Notamacropus eugenii: one gene and its partners. The protein of the gene in region 3 interacts with the protein of the main gene of each other region in a pairwise test. Links are inferred from orthologs where the notes say so. Each region holds a gene or a part of one and is shown on either strand. Other genes may lie near its edges.

Region 1 (7,261 bases), on a different chromosome or scaffold from region 3:
ACTTGAGGGAACCAGACATAGGTCTGGACTGGGTTGGCCTCTCTGGTTGACCATGTAGCTAGAATGGAAGGCCCATAGGCTGGGTTGAAGCCCCTGCACACAGGGGGCACAGGGAACATGGAGAAAACTCCAGGATTCCCTGGTGATGGAGGACAAATCAATGGCACCTAGAAGCTAAAAGGAGTTGGGGCAAGATGGAAGTGTTGGGTTAAGGGTGGAGTTGGGGGACACTGAATTAACAGACTTAAAAATCTAGAGGGGGTTAGTATTCAGGCAATGGAGTCAAAACTACACATTTCTGTAGCAAAAGGTAATCAGGAATAAAGGGGAAAAAATATTTCTGAAATCTGTTGATATTCCAAGACATTACTCAGGAGGCTATGGAATCTCCTTCCTTGAAAGTCTGTTAGCCTTAAATTTCAGTGGTTCTGGCTAAGAGGAAAAACTGCCCTAGTTATGGGGCAGTGATAGAAGGATAGAGAGTAGATATAGGAGACCTCCTCCCAAATCCTCCACTAAAAGTAAGGTCCCAGGACTTCGATACTCCCCCATTCTGGGTGGTTTGTTTTTGTTCATTTAGTCATTTTCAGTTATTTCCAACTCTTTGTGGCTCTTTTTGGGGTTTTCTTAGCAAAGATACTAGAGTGGTTTGCCATTTCCTTCTCCAGCTCATTTTACAGATAAGGGAACTGAGACAAACTGAGTTAAGTGACTTGCCCAGAGTCACATAGCTAATAAGTCTCAGAGGCTGGATTCTAACTCAGGTCTTCCTGACTCCAGGCTGGGCATTCTATCCACTGTGCCACTATGCTGCCCATACAGGGTACAGTTTTTTATTATGTGTTCAATTGTGAGCTACTTGAGGGTGGGGATTGTCCTCCCTTTCCTTGTATCCTCAGTGCTTAGCCCAGGTCTGGCATATAGTAGGTACTTAATCAATGTTTACTGGACTAACTGAGGGTGATCTGTAAAGGGTCCTGCCAGCCAGAGGCACCTGAAAATCCTAAAGGCAGATTTTAAGGATAGAGTCAACTGGGGTTGTGGGTGCAGGCTTGAATGGGGCTGTGAGATAATCAAGACAAAAGCAGTTATGCTGTGGTTCTCCCTGCCTCCCTGGATCAGGGAGGTGGGGGTGGTTCTAGCCCAGCCACCTGAGGAAATCTTAGAGCTCTGTGCCACTGGGTGGATGGGGAGAAGAGAGAACCAGGTTAGGAGGCCCGCTGACTTGCTCAGACTTGCAGTGACTGATCAGACTGCCAGGAATTAGTCCCCAGGAACCCCTTTGAGGGATCAGTGGAGCAGTGAGAGTCCCAAGGGCTCCAACTCTTCCTCATAAATTGGCCCTGGGATTCAGGGAGGCAAGAAGTTGGGTGGGACATAAACACTCATTTCATCCAATTATTCTACAGCTCAATTCCTCTCCGGGGCTTCATTTTTTCTCACCTGTAAAATGATGGGGTTGGACTAGGGGACCTCTGAGCCACTTCTAGGTCCATGATCCTATGATGAATTTTTTTACCTTTTATCCCTTTAGCCACAACCTCAGAGAACTCCTGTCCCCAGGGTCAAATACAGATTTCTTTGTTTGGCATTTAAACCCTTCACAATTTGGCCCCTATTTTTTCCAGGCTTATTACATGTCAAAGCACTATATGGTTCAACTAAATGAGCTTTCTTGCAGATTCTAATAAATGTCACTCCATCTCCATCCCTCTGCACAAGGAATACACTCCTTCCTCATCTTTGCCTCCTAAAATTCGTGGAGCTTTCTTCATCTTGAGAGCTGTTTCTTCCATGAGGCTCTCTCCCTGATTTCTCCAGCTCCCAGTGCCTCTCACCTCTTAAATGGACTTTGTAAATTCCTTGAGGCTAGGAATTATTTCATTTGGGGGGATTGTTCTATCATATATTACATCATCATGGGGATTATTGAATTTTGGGCTTTGCCTAGCACAGTGGCTGATATTTGAAAAGCCTCCCTCCTGGATGTCAAGTTCGTGAAGCCTTTCAAGGGTTAGCAGGTTGGGTCCATCACAGTCCCATTAGTAGGGCAGTTGCATCCCTTTTTGCCTCTTTGCCAGACCTGTTCCAGGAATGGACAGAGGGAAGGAGAATCTGCAGTCCACAGTCACATAGGTGGCAGATTTCTGCTGGGCAGTTGCCTTTCAAGAAGACACTGGCATATACCCCTTGCTAACTACTACCACCATGGCCTCAAGCAGTAGTTCTTCAAACTGAATTCTGACAGGGAGGGCCAGGCAATACTCCAGTGGAGGGAGGAGGGGTGTTTGGGGGAGCTTCTCTTCTGTGTCCTTGGGGGTAGTAGACCTACCCTGAATCTACACGGATTGGGGGCAGGGGAGATGCAGCCCCTAGGCCCTGAGAGGAAGTGACTGAGAGCTTTCTAACAGTCTCCTTTCAAAGCTGCCAGAGGAAATGGGGCAGGAAGATGCTGGCTACGCGTCCCGGTATGACCGAAAGGAGGGTTCGGGGTGGGGGGGGGGGGGGGGGCGGAACGTGTGCTGAGTCTGAGTTTGGATCTCACTACCCTCTTATGAAGTCCCACAATCTCCCTTCATGTCTCTACTAGTTCCTGGCCCGTAGTAGGGGGTTTGTTGGAGCTGTCCCACACTGAACAGAAGCCTCCCACCAGGATATGATATTGGTCCCTCCAGTCGTGGCTCCCAAGCTCCTTTGGAAGGGCTCTGGGTACCCGTACTGCCAGGATGGTGCTCTCCTGGGGCAGTACAGGAGCAAGCCCTGCTAGAGGTAGGGGCAGTGAAAGGCTCCTCTCCCCTGGCTTCTCGTCCCTTCCTCCCACCCTGGGCCCCTCAAGGGGGCCTCTGCCTCACCTTGAGCTGGGACTTGGAGACCTTGCCGCTCTTCTCCACATCCAGGGCTGTGAAAGCGTACCAGATAGATTTGAGCAGCTCCTTACGGAGGGCCATGGCCGAGAAGCCTGGGACCCGGAGGTTGCTCTGACACCCAGGAGATCCGGTTTCAGGAAATGCAAACGGCTTTGGAGACCGCAGAGGGGCCATACTACAGAGCACTAGCTCCACCTGCCTGCTCTGAAGTACTCTAGGTTCCTCCTCAGAAGGGGAGAGGGGGGTGGGTATCCAAGATAGGAACCGGCCTTATTTACTTGCCGATCTCCTGAAAGCACAGATCTCACCAGGGTCTCCTTTGGCCTACAGAGCTGGTGGGGGTGGTTCCTAAGATCACTCTACTAAGTGAACCACTCTGGTTCATGGAGACTTTTTGGTGATGGGGTGGAGGAAGGGGTGGAAGATGCTTATCCTCAGTAGTTACATTGGTAAGCCTCTGAAGTTAGTGCCACCACTCTACAGCTCTCACCTCCTCTCAAGTAGGGGTGGGGTAGAAGCAAATGGGGAAATTAGTAAAACAGGCAATGCTTTGCTCCTCCCTTTTCTTCATATGAAATTATTGAAACCCTTTCCCTTTTCCCAGCCTCCCCCCCAACCCAACTCCCTACAGCATTTCTCCAGGGAATTTATGGCATGGTCCCTCCCAAACCTCATTAGATCTTAACTCAGAAGGTCCTCCCTAATCCATATGAGAGAGACATCTAATCCAGCTTTAGGGGAGTGAGACTCTAGAGGGGAATCAGGGGCATTGATCTCCAGATGCTTCCAACAAGATGGAGAAAGGGTAGGGCTCCCCAAGAGCAAAGCTCAATTTGTTTAATTATCATTTGTTGTGGAGGAAGAGGGTCATTCATCCCTATAGTATTTTTCTGGGGTAATTTCTAGCCACACATACAAACCCAAGGAGGAATGGACTCTAAGTATGGTTGTCACCATTTTATAGATGAATGAAGAAGCTCAGCTTCAGGAAGCATTAAATAATTTGTCCAGAGTCACCCAGACCTGGGTGATCTTGTTGGATAGCCAGTTCAACGCTACCTCCATGACACCATATAAAAGGCTTATCTGTGGTCACAGGGCATTGCCAACTAGGTCCAGGCCACGCTGCACAACAGGGAAGTCTCACAGTGAAAGCTCTCTGCTGAGAAATGAACATGGGGCTGAAATTCTCCTGGAGTCTGGAAGCTGTAGGTAGCAAAGAAACCTGGCATTCTTGAGAAGGGCGGAGGGATTGAGAAGATGGGACTTAAATGGATCTGCCTGGACAGTATGATGTGATCTATATAACCCCACACCACAAAAAGCCAAATCTTATCTCCTTACCATCATCCTACCTCTGGCACTTCATCCTAGTCACAGCTAGAGAAACACAGGGCTCCCTTGGCTCCAAGTGGGGGCTCAGAGCTACTGAGATCAGTGTCTTGCTGCTGGTTTCTATTACAAAGGGGCAATGACCGACTCATACAGAAATTTGGGACTTTTATTAAATAAGCATCCACCCACTCGCCACCATCACCCTTAGCAGAAAAAAAAATTATAAAAATGGAATTAAAAAACAAACAAAAACCACACACACACAAATCCCAAACCCAGCAATCTAAGTGCAGGGACCACTCTGCTCCAGCCACAGTATGAATGGCTGAGAGAAGGCTGAAGGAGACTGCTTCTTTCCTCCTGTCTGCCATAGCCCCCTCAGAAAATTCTTGCCATTTGCCTGGACATCTTGGCCACCCTCTGCCATAGTTATTGCTGTATGTGGCTTGAGGGGCTCCAGAATATCCTCTGGTGGAGCCAGGTGCTCCCCCCTCCCCTGCCTCTGCTGGGGCCTCCCACATAGTGGGTAGCAACTACCTGAGGGCAAAAGGCCAGCCCCCACGGCATCCTTGACCTCTACTCACTGTCCTAAGTAAAGGGGTAAGGGGCAATAGGGTGTTCTCAAGAGGAAGAAGAGCACCCAGCAGGCTTCAGTGGGAGCCCCAGGGCAGTCTAGTGACCCAATGGGTCCTTCTCACCTTCTGAGGATATCTAGAACTCCCCCATTTTGGCTGCCACCCTTACTGATGGCAAAACCATTCCCTTTCCCCCAACTATGCTGCTCTCAACGCTGCTTTCTCTGGCTCAGCGACCTCTACGTGGCCACCTTCCGTGGTTCATCCACAGCCTGGACGCTTGTAGAGAGTGACGCCTGTACCACAAGGCATCTTCTTTGCCACTGTGTGGGACCCAGCTTGCTCTCGGGTCTCAACAGCCACTCTCTGATATAGATGTCTCTAGGGTCACAGCACCCTGCTGCATGGCTGCAGTAGCCATGCTAATGGCTTCTTCCAAAGTCTGCTGCTCCTCCAGCTACAAATGGGGTGAGAAGAAGAGAAAGAGAATGTGACACTTTGTAGGCAAGAAGCAGGTTTTTTTGTATCCTCCAAAATCTACCATGATTCTAGTTGTACCTCAAGTACTCAATAAACTCAACTAATGCTTGTTGATTGGTTGATACATAAGAGAATAAACGCTGTCAAGGAGATGTGGAGGGTTAATGGGCTTGGGTCATTTCCTAGGGGAAAAGAAGTCAAAATCATAGCAGCATGGACCTCTAGAGCTAAACAGGATCTTAGAGATGATCTAATCTCTCCCTTTCTCCTCCTTGATGAGATTACAAACAAAACTCAGAGAGTAGACATTGACAAGGTGACACAGCTACCTACTCTGTCCAGCGTCAGTTAGACCAGTTGGCCTTTGAAGTCTCTTCCCACCCTGAGATGTCATGAATCTGTAATTCAGTGAATTACTGGCAGACTGAGGTCTCCTGGTGTTGCCCAGTGTACTTCTTACACAACAGCACCTTACCCTGCCAGACTGAGAAGCAGCAGCAGCTGTGGCACAATGGATGGCATACTGACTTTGGAGTTAGAAAGCCTGGGCTGTGGTCCTGGTACTTCTGATACCAAACCTTAGGTTCAAAAAATGTCTCTGTTCTGAGCCTCAGTCACCACATTTGTAAAATGGGAATAATAAAATGTGCATTCATCATCTCACAGAGCTTTCTGGATGAGCAAATAAAATAAGGTAAGTAAAGTTCTCTGTAAACAGGTCGTACCAGTGTTCTCTGGGAGGTCAAGCTTATCAGAAATACAAAGAGTGATGATGAGCAGTACCACAGAGAGGGGGAATGGGTAGATCACCTTTGGTACTCTGTCCATGAGCCCAGCAGCAGAGACTTTGGTCTGAGAGAAGTCACAGAAGTAGTTCCCTTGAAATAGGTTTTTTCTAAAATTCCATTTCACATTTGTTTTCTCTCTGGATTACCGTAATATCCTGCTCCTCCTCCGGCTTCCCTACAGCCTACATACCTGCACTGCAATGTGAGTCCCATTGGCCGTGGCCAACAGTGCCACCTGCTGGTGATGAAGGGATGCTACCGCTGAATCTTCAGTCACCATGGCCCCGGAGGTTATGATGGTAACCTGAAACACAGAAAAGTTTGTTTTTTGTTGTTGTTCTCCCAGGACATTTCTAGGCATCCTGGAATAAGGATCTCATAGAGACCAAGGAAAAAAATGGAGAAGACTATCAGGATTCAGAAGCGGTTCAGAGCTGAATGAGACTGGCCTTTACCCAATCTAACCTGGCCCATGAGTTCCAAAGCACAGAATTTTAGAACATTAAAGAACCTTGGAGCTCACTGAGTCCCACCTCCCACAGCCGCATTTTATAGAGTACAAAAACGAAGCCCACAGAGGAAAGGCAGGTGACTGGAACTACGAGTCTCCTGACTCCAGATCTGTCAGTCTTTAAGATGACATTGATATCGACTTAAGGAGTCTCTCTTGAAGGGGAAAGAACATCCTTAGAGCATTAAGAGGTGTGGAGTAACTCCAGCTATGGCTGAATGCCTCCGCTGACAAGGACAGAGAGAGAACAAAAACCCTTGGTCATACTGGCTGTGTCTCGGTGCCGTCGGCGCTGACCATGGTGACAGTGTGTGTGCTGGAGGTGGCAAGGTCTTCAGGACTAGGGATGGTGAGGGTCGTGCCACCATGCTGAGTGACCATGCTAATGGCACTTCCTAGGGCCTGCAAGTCTTCAGGCGACAGACTGACCTGTAGGGAAGAGGTCTGAAGGTAAGAGACAATTATTCTGGCCATGGGTCAAATCCCTGGATGCCCTTTGTTAGCTGTTTATCAGATCTTTCCTGTAGGCATTATAAATTCATAACCTGTTCTGTTCACAATTTAACAAACGTTTATTAACATACTTCTTGACAATGTACAATGCATTGTGCTAAATACCGAGGGAGATACACAAATGAACAAGCAGCATCCAGGAGATTAGACACCAGTCATTAATGACCAAATCAGGCTGCTTTGGGATGGAGG
Region 2 (7,432 bases), on a different chromosome or scaffold from region 3:
CTCCTTGGGCATCTACAGCTCTCCAGTATGACATGCAGCAAACTTTCTTCTTCTGTGGGCGGAATAAAGCAGCCTGGACGCATGACATTTCACAGGCTCAGGCAGGAACAAAGAAAAACAAGTTCCCAGCAGTGGATCTTGCCCACCGGAGGGATCACGTGGTCTCTTCCACTCTTCTCGCCCACGCTCTGATCTCTCTATTGTGCCTAGACACTTTCCCCAGGTTCGAATGCACGGGTCCATAAAACCGCTTCTCCCCCACCACAGGACCAAATTGCATGGGGCACACTGTACTGGGAGAAGGGGGTACGGAGGGATGCAGACTGACCCAGTTACCGCCTCAGGTGATTTCAACGAACTGAAGGTACCTTGCGAAAGTAAGCAGAAGGCACAAGCAGATGTCTTAGCAACCCTCTCTTTCTCCTTCTTGGAAGGATGGGACGTAGGAGAGGTTCCATCACCCCTTTTCCAAAAAGGAGGTTTGGTTGGGGTTTATTTCTATGAGTTAGTCAAGTGTATCTCCATGTTCTGCAAGCCCCCACCTCAGCTGCACTGCTCCCCCTCGTCCGCTTTGTATGGGGAGGAGACAGAGCAAGAGGGGAGGGAGGGTGGAGGCTGGGCCAATCCCCCCTCCCCCTTTTGCAGTTGAGCACTGTAATGTGGAAAGCAATCCCCTAACTAATAAAAACAGACACATATTAAAGCTATTTAAAAAGATAATAACGCGGCCCTCTGGAGATTGCTGACTGTGCTAGCATAGAAATACCAGAGCTATATAGTAATGAGAGCCATGGGCTGGCGGTCAGGATGCAGTTATTAATACTACAATCATTTCTTTTCTCCCTCTTTCAGTGGAGGCTGTAACATACAGCCGGCTTGCTAAGGAGTCCAGCAGGGAGAACGAACGCAGAGACATTGAGAGCGGACAAAAGCGCAGAAATCCCCACAGTCCACGCTTACCCACTCTCAGCACCTTCCCGAGGCACAATGCAAACCAGAAGCTCGAGTTTGGGAAGGTCTCTGGGGTGAGGAGAGGAAAATCCTTCTGCCTCTAAATGCACGTCTGCACCCGACCACCCCCGATCTCCTCGCCCTCGCCCCTCCTCATCCCGATACCCGAAACCCCTTTCTTTCCAGCACCCAGGTCAAACAAAGAGCTTGGAAGCATTTTCCTAACAACCCCAGCACCAAAATAGGAACCGCACCTCAGGGGACAACAGAAGGGTGAGCAGCGAGGGTTAATGTTCCCTTGCTACAAGTGTGTGTGTGTGTGTGTGTGTGTGTGTGTGTGTGTATGTGCGCGCGCGCGCGTGTTTGTGCAAGCGCGTGCGTGTGTGTGTGCGCGCGTGCGAGTGAGCGAGAGTGTGCCCGCAGCTATCACAACAGCCAACAGCCACTCCAGTCTTTTGGGCATCTCCCTGAAACAGCTGCCGGCGCGATCTCCAAGCTGATGTTGAGAACCCCTTTCTTGGACCTCCTTACTGTTAACTGTTGGAGCAATGTCTCCTTCTCTATACCTCTCCCCACACCCTTTTCGCAGTATGTAACCCTTTACTAGACTTACTCTGGCCGTGAAGTCTACCCACTTACCTCTACCAACCTCCCGCCAGGACCTTTGAAACGCCTCCCGCAATCTACTACCGATCTAGTGGCCATCCCCCGAGAGAAATACACGCTGTCCCAGCGCCAGAGCAGTAGCTGGCGCCGGGTGATCGCGGGCAGCCTAAGGCTGAACCTGCTTGCCCTCTCCTCCTCGGGACTCTGAGCCTAGGAGGGAGCCCGGCTGCTCTCACGCCTTCGCGCTGTGCCTGGAAGCAGGCACCGCGAGGAAACTGACCACTGCAGCAGCCCCTCTCCAAAGGGAGGGAAGGGGCCCAGGGAAGAGAAGGAGGTAGGGTACTCACATTGCAGGCTCCTGGAGGAACTATCCATGAGTCTCCCCAAGGCTCCAGACGTTCGGCTGCAAATGGTTATTCCTTAAAGTGTGTGTGTTCCAGTGTCCGCAGTAGAGTGGGAGTGGAGAATCTTTTTTTTCTCCTTTTCTTAGAGAGGAAAGGAGGAAAAGGAAAGGGAATTCCAGGAAGGTCCAAGGCTAGACCATGATGCCGATGCCCTTCAGGTGGACGGCTGGATGTGTTCCCATGGGAAGCCGTAGAGAGGGGAAGCCCGGGCAGCGACTAGCAGCAGGCTGGGGGTGGGAGTAGAGCGGTAACTCTTCTAGCCTGTGCCAAGCCTGGCCGGCCACCCAATCACCAGCAGCGGCAGAAGCAGTGATAACGGCACCTCCTTCCCCACCCCCCAGGAGGTTCCACAGACAATAAATCCTGGTGGGAAAAGGCAAGGCGAGGAGGCAAGTCGAACGGTGCCCCCCGACTCCTAGCCTCTGTGTGCCTGTGCCAGGCGGGGCGGGGCTGGGGGGGGGGGGAGATCCCCAAGGAGCGCTGGGTGTGCAGCGAACGCCGAAGCGAGAAGGGGGTTAAAAGAGCCGGTGGCAGTCTCAATAGCTGAGGGTGGCCAGAAGCCGCTGGGGGATCGGGGCAGCTGGCCCGGGAGGCGGGGGCCTCGCCCGCCTTGCCCACCTCGCCTCGCCTCAGTACGGCGGCTTGGCTCACAGGTGCCGGGGTGGGCAGGCGGCGAGGCAGGGCATGTGGCTGGCAGCCCCGCTCGTTCCCTGGCTTACTCGACCCCCTCCCCCCTCGTCCTGTTGGCTTTCTTCCTCCTCCTTTTCCTCCTCCTGCTGGTGCTCCCCACCCCCTGGTAGGAAGGACTACACCGGCTGCAGCAACGGCTTCAAAGTGTGAAAAATGTCAAGGAGATTTTCTCCCCCCTCCCGGACCAGCGAGGGGTGGAGACTGAGCCCTTACGCGCCCCGCGCCCCTCCCCTCTGAGCTAGCCTCCGCCCCCTCCTCGGCTAAAAACCCCGCGGGGAAAGCGGAGGATGCCCAGGCTAGAGCCCATCGGCTGCTGCCGAGGCCCGGGGCTTCCAGGGGAGGAGGGTGCCCCGGAGCCTGGCCCGCTGGGGCTCGCTGGTTCGGGTGCACGGCGGCGGCAGAGACTGCCTGCTGCTCTGAGGGCCGGCCCAAGTCTCCCTCCGAGCCCGAGTCCCTGTCCGCCGCCGTGGCGCTGGGGTCCCCGCCGCCCCGCGCCTTCCCCTGGAGCAGCCGGTCCCGGTGCAAAGAGCTCCCCGCCAGCCTCCGCGTGCGTGCTAGGAGAGCCGCCCCCACAGATTCCGTGACTGCTGGAGCCGCGCTGAGTGCAGCTCGGGGCTCGGAGCTCCTGCAGAGGCTGCTGCTGCTGCTGCTCCTGCTGCTGCTGCTGCTGCTGGGGCTGAGGCTGCTGCTGCTGGGGCTGGGGCTGCGGTTGGGGCTGGGACTGGGATTGGGGCTGCTGCTGCTGCTGCTGCCGCCGTGGCCGCGGCTTTTTCAGCAGGGGCAGAGTGTCTCCTCTCCCCGGCTTCTGCTTCCCCAGGACCCCGCCCTCCCAGGCTACCAAGAAGAGGGGCGGGGGGGGGGGGGGGCGTCTCTTGTCCAGATGCAGTCGGTATAACACCCACCGTTTAGGACTTAGCGCCCCATCTTCCAAGCCCACCCTGGGAGTGGCCACTTCCTAGCGACAAAGGACTTGCAGCATTAGGATTTACCCATCCATCTCCTATTCCCCTTATCACGGTAGCACACAAAGGCACCTTTTCTCTCCTGTGGGCCACTGAGTTGGCTGTCAAACTCTTGGAAGTGTCTGCGGGCCAAGTAGCACTGAAAATAGCCCCCTCCCTCCACAGCAACCACAAGAGCTTGGGGAGGGAGGAGTGACGGAAAGTGACAATTTGAAATGGGTCTTATTCTGCACACAGCTTTAGATCCCCCACATTTGATGGATTTCTTTCTCTGTCTTTTTAGTGACTGGTGTGAGATAGACACGTTCATATACGTACAATCATACATACATATATACATACACACATACATACATACCCAGAAATTTTCTTTGGGAAATACTGCTGAGTGGTCCGTGCGAGGAGAGGTTAAGCTTTTACTTTTCTCTTCATGTTAAGCAAGCTAAAGGGCGACATTTCATCTTTCAAACTACCTTCAAGTGGAGTGGTGTATGAGTCGATGCAGGCGTGCAGTGCATGCTCCCCAGTGCAGTGCACACAACATCCCAACGCAAGGCACGTTCTCCCAATTGTGGGTCTGGGAGAATAAGCCCTTCAAGGTCAAAAATCATCCTCTCTCTGGGTAGGAACTGTCTGGAAAGGAATTCGGGAGATGGGTAGCTAATCGGATGGGTAACCAGCCAGGGAAGGTGGATTTTGCCGGGAACAGCTGGCTGATGACTGAGAGAAACTGCTGTTTCATTCTACTGAGGAAGGGAAGGGAGAGAAGCTGGACTGGGGAGAATCGGGGAAAGCCTCATCATCACCAAAGCAGACTTTGTAAGTGCTGGAAAATGCACTGATTGCAGAGTAACTGAACTGTCAGGAGGAGGAAATACATGATTTCAGGGGACAAATTACTGCATTTTCCAAAGTCGGGCTTCCTTCTCTTTCCCTAGTAGGGTCACGTCCGGTTTTCCTACACCAGTGGATAATCCAGGGTGGGATGTGAAAACGAGAACTGGGAAAACAAGACGAGCAAACTAAAAACTAGTTTGAAAAACTTGCTCAATGGTGTTGGTCCTTAGCTCAGCCTTTAAAGCCTTCACCCGGCTATCCTTCAAACACCATTCCTCCCACCCCTGCAAATAGGCCTCCGGCTGGTTGGACCCACGATGAGGTATTGCATGTCCTTCCTACACGCTTGCTTGCTGCAGTCCGGCATGTCTGGCATGAAGCCTGGAATTAGCCTGGTGCTCCGTGAATACAGTGAGGACTTAATTAATGCTTAGTAAATTGAATTGAATTGTTTTCTGTGGGCCATTCCTCTCTATCCCCTGGGAACTCCTGGCTCCTTTCAAGGTGTATTTTAGGGGCCTCCTCCTGAAGGAGGCCCTTCCTTATTCACCTGTTGTTAGTCATCCTCTCTCACCCCAAGAATTGCTTTAAATCCATTTTGTGTACACTTTCTATTTCCCATAGTGGACTGTAATCTCCTTGAGGATAGGGATCCTTTCATTTAAGTTTCTCTGTCCATAGCTTATAGTAGAGTATCTGGCTGCACTACAGTACCACAGAGTTTCCCACACAACTTTCACATAGTGCTTCACACCAAGTGCACTTTTACCAAATCTGGTAGGATTGCCTTCCCTCACCAACATTGTCTCTCTATTGTCTTCTCCTAAAAATGAACACATTTCCGCATTGGATGCCTAGAGGATCCTGGGAAATGAGTATTTACCTACAAGTGAGCATCAGAGTGGGGAATTTAGAATGCCTTCTGGAGCCTTTCCCCCTTTGTCTTTTCCTGAGCTCTAAGGGAGTTGCGGGAATAATATCATGGCCTTCTTTTCTCCTTCTCTAATTCTGACTCCTGGACCTTAGACACATGAGTCAGCAAAGAACTCAATGGATAGAGTTTGGGAAAGCATGTATGGCTACTGTGAGCTCTTAGGTATTTTGACATGTGATTTCATTATAAAACAATGCAAAAGAAGAAAAATATTCTTCTTCAAGATGGGCCCTGAGCATACTGCCCCGATTTTGTACAAGATTTATGAATCTCTTATAGAATTTGTCCATCTCGACTTTTTGAACAATGTCCCATATTATAATATTTCAATAGTCTCATAGAATTGGATTATTGAAATGCAAATGGAAATTCTGTCTTTAAACTAACTCTGGGCTGTCCTACACCAATTCTTCCAAAGTACATATGATTGTTTTAAAATTGGCCACAAATGAATATGAAAATACCCTTAGGGTCATGCAAAGTCCAAGAGCCAAGAAAAAAATCCACAATTTAAGAACTCGGATCAAGGAAGTTTTGACAATCATTCATCAGATTAAGTCTGGGAAACTTGATGCAGCATTGAAGGATAGCCCAAGTATACTCAAAAAATCAAGAATTCATACAGCATACTAATAAATACCCCCATTTCTTTAAAGTCTCCAAGATCTGCTTCCAATACAGGCAAAATTATTACTGTGGTATAATGATTTACCATTGGAAATGGTACTCCTCTCCCAAAATACATCCTTGACCTTCCTGCCAGAATGCTCGAAAATCCACCATTAGGGATTCATTCACGTTGTCAGAGATTCTTTTTCAATATTCCAGTTAAAGTGGAAATTCTTTTTTACTAATGACAAGGTGTATGACCTTGGTTGAATCAGTTAATGTTGTTGAGCCTTAGTTTTTTTGCTGGTGAAATGAGGGGATCGGACTATTTGACCTTTGAGTTTCCTTCACCTTGAGAACTGTGATTCTAGTAAGGAGGACATGTACTGAACTCTAAAGAAAAGATAGGCAATGCCAATAATAATACCATACACACACACATGCATGCACACACATACATACACCTACACATATATATGTATATATATATATATACATGCATGCATTTACCTCTGTATATACATGCATAGTCACACAAACTTACTAGTTCTGTGACCTCAGGTAAGCCATGATCTCTCCCGAAGGACTTTAAGCACTTTATGGTTTATAGCCTTGTGAGAAAGATAATAAGATAATGGCTTACTCAAGGTCACAAAGCTAGTAAAGTGCAGAACCAGGATTTGAAGTCGGGCCCTCTGAAATTCATTCGTTCTGTGCCTACGGCATGCATACTACTGTGCTAAGCAAAGGGAGATAGATAAACAGACAGACAGACAGATAGATATAGATGGGTAGGTAGATGATAGGATAGACATATGTAGATAGATATGTAAACATGTATAGATAGGTAGATAAACGATAGGATAGTTTTATATATATATATATATATATATATATATATATATATATATATATACATACATAGATATGGACTGATAGATGAATGGATGGATAGATGATAGGATGGGGAAATATACATAGATACATAGATATGGATGAATGGATGGATGGATGCACAGATAGATGATAGGATAGATAGATTTACGTAGATAAATATGGATGAGTAGATGACTGTTTGTCTAGATGATAGTATGTAATATATATATATAGATGGATAGATAGATAGATATGGATGGATAAATAGATGTATGGATAGATAGATAAAATAGGGCCTACCCAAGGGAGTTTACAATCTAAAAAGATAAAACACAAACACATGACAGATTCAATGCACACTATTAGGAAAAGTATCAGAGAATTACAAAACAAAATGCTATGTCAGGTCATGACATTGGCAATAGGAATAACTAGGAAAATCAGGGATTCATAGAAGAGCTATCTTTGATTTTTCTCTTTCCAGTTTTAATCTTATTTTTATTGACACTTTTTGTTTTTACGTCCACTTTATTTAAGGATTTATCTCCCCCTTTGGGCAGTTC
Region 3 (8,269 bases):
TTCTTTGGGGTCTTGGAATGTGGGGGATTTACTGACTCCTCTCTGCCAGCCTTCTGCATTGGCAAGGAGGGAGGGTGGATTCCCCTCAGAAGCGGGGCTGCCACGGCTGCTTTGGCCTCTGCAGCCCACCTGCGCTCCTCTGAGTACAGGTCAGCAAGAGTGCAGCCTGCGGCCACCCCCGTTTAACCAGACTAGCACAAAGATCAATGGAAAACGTGTGTTAGGAGAAAGGGCACCGTCAGTAAGAACCGCGCACATGTTATATTCTAGAAGCAGATCTTTGATTCTCACTTCCCTGCATTACTACATGTCATCTCCAGACATGGCTTGAACAGGTCAAAGGACTGGGGGAGGAGGGGAGGCTAGAGTGGGGCTTTTCAGGCTGCTATCCCCTGGATCATGGCTGTAACAAAGCCTGTGCAGTGTTAGCAAAGGTCTGCTATAGAACCTGGGTCCCAGGTTCCCTTCCTGATGCCTTCACCCCAACATCAACCTCCATAGAAGTTCCTCCGACCTTCTGCCCTGGAGATCTCTGGGCTCATCTCTCCTTCCAAACTCTTAACTTTGCAAACTACAGTTTGTAAGGTGTATTCTTACAAATAACCTAAGTACTTTCCTGCCTGGTTGGGTCAGAAGCTGTGTCCATAGAAGTGCAACGAAAGGGTACATACTAGAAGCCAGTTGTAAGGCCTCTTTGGAAATCTGATGAGTGGTAAGTGCAGAGCCTGACTGAGGATATGAGAACCCTAATGGACTCGAGCGCCCTCTCTCTGCAGGTGTTCTCTTCAGCTCCAGTTCAGTGGAACTCTGGGGCTCAGTTTCTGTGACTCCTGGTTATCAGTTGGAATTCTAGGAAGCTGAGCAGATGTCTCTTACGCCTCCTCAAAACATGCACCCACAATACATGTAGTCATGAACCGCACTGATGACTTGGTTTCTCTCCTTACTGGGTTAGTCAGTATTCCTATGCCTGCTGTACATTTCTGAAAGGAGTGTGGTATGCACCGCAGTGCTCTGAAGCTTTCTGGGAGGGCTCTCTTGGGGTTGTGCTGTTCCCTGCCTGAGCACTAGAAGATGAACCCCACTACCTCCTGGACTGAATTCTCATTTTCTCTGTCCTCATACCCTTCCATGCACACATTTCACGCAGCAGCACCATGGATTCCACCAATCCTGCCACCCAAAAGATGTCAACGTGTACATCTATCTTCCCCCACACCTACCCCCTTCTCCTTCCAAAACTTTGCTACCCATTGACTTTCTGTCCACATCCTTAACAGGAAGACAGGCAACACCAACCATCCCCAGAGTGATACACTAGTTTCCCAGGGCTGGCCCGGCCCAACTTACAATGGAAGAGACTTCAGAGTACAGTGAAAAGGAAAGTACAGGGGTTAGGTTATTTCTCTATTCAAACATTAATAATGTGACAAAATATATCACAGAAAATGCCAAGCAACAGAAAGTAGTACCATAATGAAAGGGCACACATTCACTCGTTTTGAACAAGAGGTGTGATCTGAGGGGAAAGAATTATGAGATGGTTGGAAAGGGGGCTTCTTTGTGTTACCAGATGCCATCACTTGCACCTAAATTGTAGCCTTCAGCCATCTGACTTCATGTTACTCCGGGTTCCAAGTCTTGTTTTTTCATGTATAGCTCACAAGGGATGGTGGTAATTCATCATCACTGGCTCTCAGAATCACAAAATGTGTTAAAGCTAAAAGGGAACTTCAATTGTCTAGTCTGGCTGTGTTAGGAGACTGAGGTCTGAAGAGGTTTGGTAACCTATTCAAGGTCACTCAGACGAGCTAATGGTAGCATTAGGGCTGTAACTTGGGTCCCCTGTGTTCTTTCTGTATTAGTTCCTAGGACTAGATTTTCCCCAGAAAATCTCCGGCCAAAAATACTTTCTCATTCAACAAACTCCTAGCTTTTTGACAAAGGTAAAAATAAATCAAACATCTGTTTCTCTTCAAACACTATCTTTAGGCAAGAATTTTCACTGTTCCTCTCCTAAGCTTTCTAAATGTTTCAGTTCAGCAGACTTTATTAAGCACCATAAACGTGCAGAGCATTGTGCTAAGTGGTTGTAGGTCAGATGAGGAATATACAAAATCCAGATAATGCAGGGTCCCTCCCTGCACATACAGAATCTAGTCTGGGGTATGACAGATACATAACAGCAGCAGTCATAGGAAAAAGCAACCCTGTGCATCATTAGAGAGCTGCAGCCTGGTCTGGGAGTTCCCAGGAAAGGATGTGAGGAATGGTGGTTACCACCTGAGACTGGGGGGCTGGCAGAGGACTTGGGGAGGCTTTCTGTAGAAGGTGACATTTCATTAGATTATGAAGAACACATAGGAATTCAACAGGTCTGTGGGAGTGGGGAGAGTATGACAAACAAGGAACTGTGAAAACAAAGGTCCCCAGACAGTCAAGTATAAGATACAGCAAACAGTCAGTTTGACTGGAGCATGGTATATGTAGAGGGGAATAATATGAGGTTAAGCTAGAAAAGGTAGAGTGATACCTTGGATTACAGACAAGAAGGAAGCTTTGAACAATTCTGAATAGGAGGGCACAACTAGATTAGTGCATAATGCAGACATCTGGCAGTAGGGGGAAAAGATGGCTTGAAGGACGAGAGCAGAGGCAGAAAGACCTATTAACATTTAAGCAGGTAATCATGAAGGCCTAAGCTAGGTTAGGAATGCTGGAACTGGAGAAGATGCAGGAGATGCTACAGAAAAGAGTCAATTGATAATGGTTGGCCTGTGAGAGGTGTGGAAGAGGTAAAAAAGAAAAAATAAAAGATGGTGACAAAACAGTCCTCAGAAGAGAGAATGGTTTTGGGGTTTTTTTGGAGCATGTGGAATGAGTTTGTAGTTGAGGATAGCTATGTGGAGCTCAGGAGAATGGTCAGGGCTTGAAACAGATCTGGGATTCATTTATGTAAGGACCACATTGGAGAGAAGGGATGTGCAGAGAGAGGCAGTAGGGAGAAAAGGACTGAGAAATACCTTCCTTAAAGGGTCAGGAAGAAGAGAGAGATGGAGCCTTCCAATTGAAATTCTATGATTCTAAGCCATTAGAGAAAAGAATCAGAACACTGTGATGTCTAAGAAGCAAGGGAAGAGAAAGTATCCAGTAGGGACTGGACAGTTACCTGGAAGTAAAGGTATATGAGTACTGTCATGAGGCAATAGAGTTCTAAGTGTGTTCCCTTTATTAGAAAGGTTGGCACTTGCCAATAAAATGGATCCTCAATAGCCAAAGACCTCAAGTTGGGGACAGGCGGCTCTTTTATAGTGATTAACAAGATGACAATAAAATCTCGACCAACACAGGCATGCCTTCTGATGGTCTAGATGTTTCATGGAGGAGGTGGGATGAATGTTTACTCAGCTCCCCCCCATTACATCACTGGAAAATGAGCTCAATTCTCAAGTGATGACGTCAGTCTGTAGGCAGTGGGAGTTGCTACGGCAGTTGTGAACGATGAGCCTGACCTTTACCATGCAAGTTTCTCCAGAATGTGGGGGAAAGGGGGAGGGAAGGTCAAGTTACCAGAGTGGAGGTACAAGTCTTCAAACTAAACCAAAGTGACCTGAGATTACCTGAGTACACTTGCAAGGTGTAAGGGATTTAGACTCACTGGGAAAGAAAGTATTAAATCTATGCTGGCTTAGTTAAGTTTTAACAAATAGAATTAAAAGTTAATTTTCAATTTCACAGGGCTAAGAAAGGTCATTAGGTTTTGGCATTAAGTCACACCTTTGAGAGGCCACTTGCAGTTGAGTTGTGTAGGACATAAAAATGTAAGGGGTTGTGGAGAATGGTTCGTATAGAAACATCAGATATAAACAACTTTTTGTTGAAGATTGGTAGTGAACCAAAAGAATGCCTCTATGTAAGAATTAAGTAAAGAAACTAACTGATAATGGCACAGGATGAAAAGACTGTATTATAATGAATTATAAGTGTGCTTTATAATCTGGATTAGTGGAAGGAGTTGCCCAAAGAAGTAAAATCATAGATCCACCAGAATATTGGCAGTGAAAGGAAAGAAATAAATGGGGTAATTGTTGGATTTGCTAGAAAAGTGAAGGAAAGATTTGGAGGGGGCGACTAGAAAGATTTGACCATGTTTATAGTCTTGTGAGAATGAAGCAGTGGAGATAAAGAGGGTGTGTGTGTGTGTTTTGGGGCAAGGGAGTTGGTTCAATTACTGGAACAAGGTCCTGGAAGGAGCTGGGATAGAGAAATACAAGAAATGGGTGAAAGGGGTCAAGGGCACAACTAAAAAGACCAGCCTTTGCAAGTAGCTGGGGATGCAATTTCTCTGAAGTAGGATATACTGATTCCATTCAACAAATCAGAGCCCTTTGGATGGCCTCCGTCTTCCCATTGAAATAGGAGACTGTTGCCTGCTTGGAAAAGGTCTGATAGTTTGAGAAAAAGTTTTACAATGTTCACAATGGGGTATATAATGTTAAGAAGTAGTAAAATGAACTGATGAGTTTTTCCTCTGCCCTCAGCCCTTGCCTTCCATTTTACTGGAGATAATAATGAACTGAAGTTGTCTGAAGGCTCTGAATCCACGATTCTAACAGCAGCAGATAAGAGGAAATTAAAATCGGCTGAATGTATACTTGCATCCTCACCCGTGCCCTCACATCCCATAACACTGTATGCCTCCAGTTCCAGCATGACAGTATGCCCCCAACCTCTCTATTTTACGATCTTGCGCCTGATTCGGGACCACCCATCTGAACACAACACCTTCCCTTACCTCTTTTCCAGATAGAAAACATTTTTCTAACAAATAAAAAATAGAATTAAAATGGAATCTCAAACACCTGCATAAGCAGATGTGTTCTGGGTCTGGGAGAGGGGATTTTGTTAAAAAGTGGGCAAATAGGCATCCCCTTTGTCAGATGGGGCAGCACCCTTCTACCAAAACAGCTGACTTTTCAAAGTCCCATCAGAACCTTGCTCCTGGTTGGTAAACCTGTGCAAGGTGAGGGTGTAATGGAGTGGGGAAAGGTAGCAGAAGTTTAAGGGTCATAGTAGGACACTTACCCTAGTGGTTTTCCAGGATCTTTCAGGCAGTGGAAAAGCCAATAGTGGAAAATTTGGAGTCCTTTTTTACATATATCAACAGCTGCCACTAGTCACAGGAACCACCTTGGGAAAAGAGCTCAGTTTAATTCTTCTTTAAAGCAACCCCCAAATCTTGAGTTAGTGAGGGGAAGGGTTCCCTGAGGGTTACATCCTTCTGTGCCATTGGTCATCTTACAGGCAGGCGTGAAACAGGGAAGATAAGAAACGATATAGAGAAGCTATAAAAGCCTTTCTGCCCTGTCTGGAATGGGACAGCAAAGAGTAGATTAATAATAAAAGAAGAAAATGAGCTTTCCCCCACCACCACCACCACCTTAAAGGACAAAAACCTTCAAGTCTCCTCCCCCATCCATCCTGGTGGTGGTACAGTCTGACTGACTCTAGCTTTGGGGCCAGAATCTTCCTACCCCTGGAAGGCCCTGGGGCCTGCCCTAGTTACATCATAATGAATGAGCTGTGATGTCACTACAGCTTGTCCCCGCTTCCCACCAAGGTTTTTTAAGTAAAGTCTGATATGCTGAAGGATAAACCCACCATGAGGAGCAGAGCCTCAGAGCGAGGTGAGTGGGGACAGCCTCATGACGCCCGATCCTCCTAGGCTCTCCACCACACTCCTGCTTTTCTCCCCTCGCCTCCCCCCACACTGCTCAGTTCCTCCCAGCTTCATCTTTTGTGGTCCCAGGCCACTATTCTAAAAATTACAAGTAGCTTCTCCAGCTTCCACTAGCTTTGTCCCTTCACGCAATCAGAGAGAGCATACTCGTGGCCAATAGAATCTGACCAAACTCATGTGCAAAGTGCATGAGCAAAAAAAAAAAAAAACTGAACAAACCTGAGAGAACTGGTCAAGTTGAGGGAGGGAAAAATCCGCTTTGCTTCCATACTCATTTCTAGCCATAGGAAAAGTGGTTTTGTTCCCTTTACTGCTTCAGTCAATCCAGTCTTTCTTGTGCTCCATTTTCTCTCTTCCCTCCCATGGGAAATAATTTTTAAAAGAATAGAGGGAGTCTCTGTGCTCCCTTCCCCCTTGTGGACTCTTCCTGAATTCAAATCTAGCCTCAGACATTAGCTGCGTCACCCTGAGCAAGTTACTTAGCTGTTAGCCTTGGTTTCCTCATCTGTAAAATGAGCCAGAGACTGAAATGGCAAACTACTCCAGTTTCTTTGCCAAGAAAACCCCAAGTGGAGTCAAGGAGAGGCAGAAGATGGGAGCAACAAGGCACTTGCCATCCCACCCTCCCTTGGTCTTTCCAGAGCTAGCTCTTCCACCTCTCCTGAGCCACAAAAACAAGATGCAATAGTCTGCCCAGGGCTAAGTAGCTGGGGGAAATCCCCACAATCTGTTTCCTTTCCACCCTCTATTCTGGTTTTAGAGCCACAGTGGCATGTCTTTGCTGGTCAATCCAGGTTTGTTTCATTTAGGTCCTATCCTCTAGACTACAAATTTAAAGCTGGAATGGAACTAGAAAGGTCATCCAGTCCAACCCTTTCATTTTCTTACAGATAAGGAAACTGAGGCCCAGAGGGATTTGCTCAAGGTCTTCTGACTACAAATCCAGTGGCCCTTTCCACAGAGACTCTAACTTTGACCAAGCCTGCACTGCATGGCGTGGACAAATGTCTCTGGCTTCCCTCCTAACTGAAAGTGATGTCATCCAGGGCTCTAACCTGAGTGGAAAGGTTCTGGGCCTTTACTGTGGATCTGTTTGGTGAAGTTTTGTCCCCAAATGATTAACATTACCAAATTTTAGTTTGAAGGATACCTACACAATATATACCGACTGGTGGGCAGGAGGGGGAGCAGGGATCATGATTACATGTAGTTGTATTTCAAAATTCTGAAAGAAGACTCCTGGCCAAAAACAGTCCTGACGGACCCCATCACAGTCTTGCGCAGTTCCCTACAGTCAGGCTATCTGATAACCAAAAGGACTCTAGACCCTGAAGCAGACCAGGAGAGCCTAAAATGGAAGCTGGAGTTCTCCCTTGTGAGGGAAGAATTGAGGCCCCTGTATTGAGCAAAAAACATTTCATCTCCCTCAGGCTATTCCCTTCCCTTTAAAACATAATGACCCTTACTAACTACCTAGCAAGGTGGTTACAAGAAGAATTCCATAGGAATAAGAATTGAGTGTACTGTGAAGAGGACCCAAATGGCAAGAAATTAAAAACTGCACAAGAAAAGGTGTTATGTAGTGGAGGGCCAAGGGGACGGCAGAGCCAAGTCAACCAGATGGGTTTCTTAAGCCCCTGCTGCCTGGCACTGCGCTGCCCACTGGAGGTAGAAACCCAAGCAGAAAGCAGTGCCCGCTCCCAAGGAGCTCACAGTCCGACAGGGCTTGGGAAGGGGGTGCGAGGAGAACAAGCACGAAGATGGGGTGCTTGGGAGAAGCTGGGATGATCAGAGGAAAAAGGAGCCAGAAAGGCTTCCTGGAGATGAGCTCCGAGTTGGGGCGGTGTCTGAGAAGATGAACGGAGAGCCCTGCGGGTGACACGGCGTGCCCTCGAGGATCTAGAGCAGAGGCTGCCAGACGTTTTTAAGAGAACATTTACTTAGTGCCCACCTGGAGACCTACTTTATTTAGCCCTTTGCCTTGGTTTAACTTCCATCATTTTTTCTAAACTGATGCAGCTTCAATCTAGTAGCTGGCTGTAGCTTTGGGAGGCTTTTCCCACACTGAAGTGCTGCCGACAGCAGGCCCGCAGCCCGGCACCGCACAGCGCGGCACCGCACGGACCCCCGCCAGCTTACCCCCGCAGTGACGTTAAGCCGCCGCTCGGCCGGGAAACGAGTCCGAGCACGTGTCTGGGACGCCTCCCCCGCCTCCCGGACGGCCCGGGCCCCGCCCACGGAAGGGCCCCGCCCACGGAAGGCCCCGCCGGCGCGCTCCCAGGCTCCTACCTGGTCGGGGCAGAGGCCTGGCCGCTAGGTGGCCGGAGCCAGGGCTCCGCCCCGGCCGCCCACGCGCGCTTAGTGTGACCCTGGCCCAGTCACTGCGGGCCTCACCTTCCTCCTCCGTCAGCGAGCGGCACAAGGGAAGGGCAGAAGCACTTCAGGGTCCGGAACGACTGAACAAAGGGAAGGAAAGGCCTACCAAAGGCACCATTCCTTCTCTTGCCCTCGACTTAAGCAGCCGCCCTC
Region 4 (7,500 bases), on a different chromosome or scaffold from region 3:
TAACCCTGTTTGCTTCAGATTCCTCTTCTGTAAAATGAGCAGGAGAAGGAAATGGCAAACCACTGGAGCATCTCTGCCAAGAAAACCCCCAAAAAGGAGTCACAGAAAGTCAGACACAACTGAAAAAAAAATGATGAAATAAAAAAAGAATTAAGAAACCTCTTGATGAGGATGAAAGAGATGAGTGTAAAAACTGACTTGATATCAAAAAAACTAAGATCTTCACAACTGGTTTCACTACTTCCTGACAAATAGAGGTAGAAGAAATGGAAGCAGAGTCAGATTTTTTATTCATATATATATATATATATATGTATATATATATGTATGTATGTATGTATTCAGATAGATAGATAGATAGATAGATAGATAGATAGGTAGATAGACAGGTAGATAGATATAGATGACAGCATACTAAAAAGCAGAGACATTACCTTATGTTGTTGACAAAGGTCAGTAGTGTTAAGGCTATGGTTTTTCCAGTAGCACTGTATGGCAGTGAGAGTTGGATTGTAAGGAAAGTTGAATGATGCAAAATTTATGCTTTCCAATTATAGTTCTGGAGAAGACTTTTGAGAGTCTTTTAGACATCAAGGACATCAAATCGGTCAATACTTAAAGAAATTAATTGAGACAATTCACTGGAAGTTCAAATGTTGAAGTTTAAATACTTTGGCCATGTAATGAGAAGACAGGATCCATTGCAAAAGACCCTGATGGTGGGAAAGCTTGAAGATAGAAGGAAAAGGGGACAGCAAAGGATGAGATGGATAGATAGTGTCATAGAAGCAACAAACATGAACCCTGACAGACTTCGAAAAACAGTTGAGAATAGAATGGCCTGGCATGCTATATAGTCCATGGGATCATGAAGAGTGATGAAAATAACCAATGTTTATTGATTGATTGACTACATGACTTGAGGCCCCTTCTAAGCTCTGAGGTTCTTTGATTCTAAGATTCTGTCATTGTATGATCATCATGGACTTAAGTGATGATAGCTGAGTACCTATTGGCTGCTCAGAGCTGTGGGGAGGGAAGTTGAAGTATTAGAAAGCAACTATCAATGAAAGACCAATCAAGGAATGAACATAAAGTTTGGTCTGATTTAAAAAAAATTTGCTAAAATTCAGATTGGACTATAACTTTTCAGGAACTTGACTGTTACATAAAGTGAGGTATATTTGCAAATATAAACAGCAGGTACAAGTGTTTTATATATATGTATATATGTATATATACATATACATATATATTTAAGTATACTACATATAGCCAACGATATCTTTACAAACACAACTGCTGACAACAGGCTACATGTATAGTGGAGGGAAAAAAGAAGTAGGAGCCTAGAGTCTGGAGAAGTTCACTTTGTGGGGTTTTATTTGTTGGTTTGTTTATATTCTTTAGATATTCATCTGAACTGCTGCCAAATAAGCATTTAAGAAGACTGGGGAAATCCTGATTTAATACTATCCTCCTGCCTCTGAAGATAAAGGAGCAGCTACCAACAGAACTCCCTCCCAAGGTTTCAGTCAGGATTAGTCATCCCCAAAGTATGCCAGATGGTCACCTATATGGTATATTATAGGGACCGTTGGGAAGACCCACTGCTTCTCCTGAATGATGTTCACTGCTCTGGCAGTGATGTCTGCAGTTCCACCAATGGCAATTAATTCCTTTGAGTACAGTATTGCTTTCACCAGGTTTCTTCTTTTAAAATGCAAAGAATTCCAGCACTGGCAATATTAAGTTCCTTATCAATAAGGGGTATTAATATTGCTAATGATGATAATTAATAAGCATCTTATGAATTATTTTATCTTTTGAGTTCTTCAGTGAAAGCATAAAAACATAATCTTGTACAGGAAAAGTACTGCTAAAAATGACAAGGATGGAACAGAGGGAGATGAGGAAGAAGAGAAGCGAGAAGTCTCACATTTTGCATATAAATAGTATAATACAAAGGTTTGCATATGTATGTGAAAATGTGTATCTATACATATGTTTCTGCTTAGCACAGTGTCTGGTATACTGTTGTTGTAATTCAGTTGGGTCGGACTCTTTGTGACCCCATTTGAGGTTTTCTTGGCAAAGATACTGGAGTGGTTTGCCATTTCCTTCTTCAGCTCCCCACTTGCCCAGGGTCACACAGCTAGTAAGTGTCTGAGGTCACATTTAAACTTGAGGAGTCTTCATGACTTCAGGGCCAGCACTCTACCCACTCAGCCACTCAGCCTGGCACAAAGTAGCTACTTAATAAATGTTTACTGACTATATGTCCTGTCTCTGACTAATATGACCCTGGATAAGTCACTTGAATAACCAGGTCACTTTGTAAGACCATAAACTATAAAGAAGGTGTTGATCAACAACAGTAGAGCAAATTCTTCACCCAAAAGAGGAAGTTCTCCTGCTCCAATAAAAAAGATAAATGCTTGCATATGAAAAGTAATGTGGCACAGGAGATAGAGCCTTGGAGCCAGGAAGACATGGCAAGTCTTGACTGTGGTACATTCTAGCTCTGTGATTCAGGGACAAATCATTTAACCTGTCAATGCCTTCAGACAACTCTCTAAGACTATAAGAGGGAGTTTTCACACAGGGACCTTCCTTGCCCTAATGAAATCACTGGTCTGGTCCTACCTCCTCCCCCAAGAATGAGTTACATTTTCCATTAAAACAGAAAACAATGTTCACATGCATCTTTCAAAAAATTTGTTTGGATAAGGAAGCTGCCAGATAGATCGGGAGTTGGGGAGAAGGAACAGGTTATAAATTTATGGAGTAAGGAACAGAGTAGAAGGGAGGTAAAAGCCAGTAACTTCACGTGGCTTTCCAAAGGACAACAAGCCAAGGCCAGCAATTATTTGGAAAAGGTGATAAGGGCAAAGCAGGAGCTTAAAAAGGAGATATATGTATAAAAACGCTATAGGAATCTATAAAATTGAACAGAAAAATATCTCTCAAAATTGGTTAGCTATGAAGTAAAGTGGTTAAGACAGCTAGGTGTGTGTGTTCGTTCTTCATTGCCGAAGAAGACCATGCCATCAGAGAAACGATGACATGACTTGCACTTGACTTTGTTTTGAGTGAGGGAGGGCTGTGCAGGTCACCAACCTCACTTCTCCTCCAGAGCCATCTGAATCAAGTGACCAGATGTTCATCAGGATTACTGGAAATGACCCAAGATGAGGCAGTGACACTGCCTTGAGGCAGTGAGTTAAGTGACTTTTCCAAGGTCACACAGTTAGTGAGTGTCAAGTGTGAGAGGTGAGATTTGAACTCAGGTCCTCCTGATTCCTGCACTGGTTCTCTATCCACTGCACCCCCAGGTAGCACTGCGGATAAAGCATTGGGCTTAGAATCAGGAAACTTTGTTTTCATGAGCTCAAATTCAGCCTCAGACACTTAATAGCGGTGTGATCCTATGCAAGTCACTTAACCTTGTTTGCCTCTATTTCCTCATCTGTAAAATGAGCTGGAGAAGGAAATGCAACCACTGTAGTGTCTTTGCCCAGAAAATCCCCAAATAGGATTACAGAGAGTTGGACACAACTAAACAACAACAAAAAGTGGTTAACCAAAAAAAAAAAAAAAAAAAAAGTTATGCTCAGAAATATTCAGGTTCTACTCCATATCTACAATACATTTTCTTTTGGGTGGATATTTTTCAGAACAACATTGGGCAAAGTTTGAAAAACTAAAATAACCACTCCACCCTAGTCCATTGTCTATTCCCATGTATTTATCTTAATGTACTTTTTAAACAATGGAAGAATTATAATGTTATATTGTGAGAGCGTGTAATATGGGAAAAGCACTGAGCTGGAAGTAAAGACAATTTGGATCTAGTTCCAGTTGTCATTAACTACGGACCGTGAACTAGTCACTTCACCTCTCTTGGGTCTTTCATCTGGATATGAAAGTATCAGGCAAGCTGACCTGGAAGATCTCTTCCAGCTGGCGCAATTATATGATGGGTCAAATCCTGGACGTGCATTTATGTTATTACAAATAGGGATTAGGGGAGGGTGGGGGTCATTCTGAGGAAACCTTCAGGAGGGTTCAAGGTTTCAAATGAAGGGAATGATGTTGACTTTGATCATGACAGAGACATGTTTCAACTTCTTAGACTAGCGAGTGGAAAAGGTGAACGTGCAAACCATACACGTGCTTTGTGCCGGGGGTTCGCTGTTATTGACGCCCTCCTAATCTTGTTCCCCAATCTCGCCTTTTCCCAGAAATAAGCAGGGCGGCAAAAAAACAATGGGCTGCGCCGCAGGGAGTGTGCTTCCTCCTCCCGAAACCTGCCGAGCGTCTGCAGCCCGGCGGCGAAAGCGTTAACAGAGCTGGATGAGTAAGCCGAGCCATCCAAATGAGTAACATACATAGTTGTTAAAGTTTTCAAGGCGGCTGCAGCTCGGAGAGAAGACACGAGACACTGGGGCTGAGCTTCTTCGGCAAAGGTCAGCGGCGTGAGGTTAGTGCAGGCTCCGGCTGGAGCTGACTGCGTACGGGAGCGAGCCAGAGCCTGGCATCTTTGAGGGAAGCAGGGGAGCGGGGGAGCAGTGGGAGTGCCCAGAGCCAACTCTGCATTTAAGGTCTCTCTGGCTGCTAGGGGGCTGACCGCCACCCTTTCTTCGCCTCCTTCCCAAGAATTACTCAGTAGGCACCAGCGCTGAAGCCTGGCTTAGTCTGCGTGACAAGCGTCGGACTTCTCAGAGAGACTTAGCCCTAGCGAGTTGGGGAGGGCCATTACGCCCATCAGGAGCAAGGACGGGATTTCTGAGGCTTGGGATTTTGACTTTCAAGACACACACACACACACACACACACACACACACACACACACACTCACACACGAAATCACACCTGTGAACTCTGGACTCGGCTTGCTTTTTGCAAGTTGTGGCCAACAGTCCAGAATTCCTTTCTGTTTCAGTTAAAACAAGTGTTGTCAAAGTAGCTAAACAGGCTCAGTTACTTCCCGTTGTGGGAGGAATATTGCCTTCTGCGGTTGTCTTAGATAATCGTGCTAAGTAAGCAGAGGGAGGCTTAAAGTGACCAGTTTGCAGTGTGGGGTAAAACTGTAATTGAAGCAGGTTGCTAGGTGAAAGGTTTCCCATGCATTGCTAAGAAATCTCATTCAAGAAACGTATTTAACGTATTTAAAAGATGCTAACCTTACAACTGCATACTATATTGCTTTGTAATTAACTTTTGGGGGGCGGGGGAGACGATCCGAAGGGCAGAATCGTGAGGGACTCCGGATGTGGAAACAGCCTTTACTGGCAATTCCTCAGTAATTTAGTTTTACAAGAGGCCTTTCCTGATCCCTCAGTTAATAACGCACTTCTCTCCAAATTATTTTGTACTTATTTGCATGCTTCCCCTACCCTACCCCAATAGAATGCCATGTGTCCATGGGCACAAAGTGAGTTTGTATCCAAGGCAGGACTGCCTGACTAAGATTGGCCCACTATCTGCTAAAGCAAGCTGCCTCTTATTATCAAACACATGCCTAGAAAAATGAGGAAAGAAGGTCATAGATCTATATCCTCCAAGAGGTTTTGATTCTGCTGTGAGTTAAAAGTTTTCAGAACTGAGACGGAGGCAGGTTTGTACTTCCCAACCCACCTCTAGCTTCCATCTACAGGTAGGAATTAGCATAGACACTTCAATATGAATTATTCACCTTGGATTTTGGCTTTCCCTCTAAAACTCCGGTTACTTGTCACCCAACTGAAAGCCCCCCTCAGATTCTTGCTGCAGGCTTGAGAGGCAATGCTGTACCTGCTATTACTAAATCACGACTCACTTGAAACTTAGATGCCGGGAACAAAGTACACGCTTGCAAATTGCCTTATGAGGCACTGCTTCACATTGTAGGTGGGATACATTTCAAAGCAGTCACATTTTTTGTCCTCTCTTTTTCTTCAGACATCGAGGTTCTCTGAAATCCAGGACCCAGCTGGTGTTCTCCTGAGGACTGATCTGACCTGCTCCCCCATCCCCCACTCTTGTCTCAGGTCACCTTACCATGTGGACTCTGTCCATTCAGGCCAGGATTGGAGTTTTAAAATAAGATGGATGATTTGGCGTTACTTGATCTTCTGGAGTGTCCCGTGTGTTTTGAAAAGCTCGATGTCACAGCCAAAGTCCTCCCCTGCCAGCACACCTTTTGTAAACCATGTCTACAGAGGATATTCAAAGCACGCAAGGAACTGAGGTGCCCAGAATGCAGAACCCTTGTCTTCTGTGGTATTGAGGAGCTCCCAGCCAACTTGCTCTTGGTGCGTCTCCTGGATGGCGTCCGATCGGGTCAGAGCATGGTGAGAATGGGCTCCATTCGAAGACCTGGCATACTGACCTCTCAGGACCCAAGCAGGAAAACCAGGACAGATCCCAGAGGTTCGCAGCCCAGTCCATACCGACTGACTCCCAATGCCCGAATCCACATGGATGGGGTAAGAAAGTATCTGTTGATATACTGTCACGTCGAAGACTGGATTGTGAAATACAAATGGCTAAGGAGTACTTGATTTTAGTTGAGTCTTCACTTCTCATAAAATTTCTGGCTTCAGTGAATTTACTTACTGTTTATTATTTTTGTGATGGACCCAAGTTCAAAACCAGCCTCAGATACTTGCTAGCTGTGGAACCTTGGACAAGTCACTTAACTTTTGTCTGTCTTTGTTTCCTCATCTGTAAAATAGGGATGACAATAGTATCTAACGCCCAGAGTTGTTGCAAAAGTAAAATGAGATAATATTTGTAAAGTATTTTACAAATCTTGCATCTCTATATAAATGCTAGCTATTATTATCCTTTTTGCTTAGCTGTGCAACTTGGTGAGATCCCAAGTATCTCCAAAACTCTACAAACAGTCTAGGAACTCTTCTTATACCTGCCCACTTCTAGAGTATTTTTATAGATTTCTGGTTTTTCCAGGTTCTTCTGCTCCAGGAAGTAATAGAGATGGATTTTTTTTAAACAATATTTTTAAAACACTTTTCACTGTTGCTCTTAAGGAACAAAACCAATAAGTGGGGAAACATGATTAAAAAAAGAAGGGGACATTTTTAAACTGCTTTGTCTTCGAGGTTCAGGAAAGTTTCCAGATTCAGTTTTAGTTAGATTTTCGCCCCAACCTATCCCTTTATTCCAATCATAATATGCAATTATGACAATGCACATTCATAATTGCTAAAAATTATCAAGAAATTAAAATCTCAAGGATGAGGCAGGAAAAATATGTGAAAATGGATTTATTGATCTACCTACCCCCACCATGCTATGCCTTGACATCTGTAAAATTGGGGTAATAATAACTCCTGCTTCACAGAGTTTAGTGGGGATGAAATGAGTTAACAGAAAGTTTGTAAACTTTAAAACACTATATAAATACTATTATTATTATTATGATTATTACTAGTATAATAGATGAGTATTACATTGGAAATTTATATACTATTAAATAAAGACATGTTGGTGACT

Evidence for each region.
Region 1: the proteins of HOMEZ (region 3) and DEF6 interact in binary tests that used the Homo sapiens proteins (3 or more experiments, as listed by UniProt). The two-hybrid records come from large-scale screens. The link is inferred for Notamacropus eugenii from reciprocal best matches to the Homo sapiens genes HOMEZ and DEF6.
Region 2: the proteins of HOMEZ (region 3) and LRRC7 interact in a two-hybrid assay, tested with the Homo sapiens proteins (2 studies listed by BioGRID). The two-hybrid records come from large-scale screens. The link is inferred for Notamacropus eugenii from reciprocal best matches to the Homo sapiens genes HOMEZ and LRRC7.
Region 4: the proteins of HOMEZ (region 3) and SH3RF2 interact in a two-hybrid assay, tested with the Homo sapiens proteins (2 studies listed by BioGRID). The two-hybrid records come from large-scale screens. The link is inferred for Notamacropus eugenii from reciprocal best matches to the Homo sapiens genes HOMEZ and SH3RF2.

The regions. Positions count from the first base shown.
Region 1 is NC_092873.1:92,281,641-92,288,901, reverse strand, and holds the start of DEF6 (differentially expressed in FDCP 6 homolog), read right to left. Parts: upstream 3,116-7,261; 5' UTR 3,042-3,115; coding exon 2,853-3,041; intron 1-2,852. Other genes in the region: ZNF76 (zinc finger protein 76), read right to left, coding at 5,130-5,234, 6,236-6,349, 6,824-6,985.
Region 2 is NC_092873.1:530,276,431-530,283,862, reverse strand, and holds the start of LRRC7 (leucine-rich repeat-containing protein 7), read right to left. Parts: upstream 3,290-7,432; 5' UTR 1,905-3,289; intron 1-1,904.
Region 3 is NC_092878.1:9,849,459-9,857,727, forward strand, and holds the start of HOMEZ (homeobox and leucine zipper protein Homez), read left to right. Parts: upstream 1-5,186; 5' UTR 5,187-5,641; coding exon 5,642-5,687; intron 5,688-8,269. UniProt on the Homo sapiens protein: May function as a transcriptional regulator.
Region 4 is NC_092872.1:374,989,831-374,997,330, forward strand, and holds the start of SH3RF2 (E3 ubiquitin-protein ligase SH3RF2), read left to right. Parts: upstream 1-4,391; 5' UTR 4,392-4,483; intron 4,484-5,943; 5' UTR 5,944-6,089; coding exon 6,090-6,470; intron 6,471-7,500. UniProt on the Homo sapiens protein: Has E3 ubiquitin-protein ligase activity. Acts as an anti-apoptotic regulator of the JNK pathway by ubiquitinating and promoting the degradation of SH3RF1, a scaffold protein that is required for pro-apoptotic JNK activation.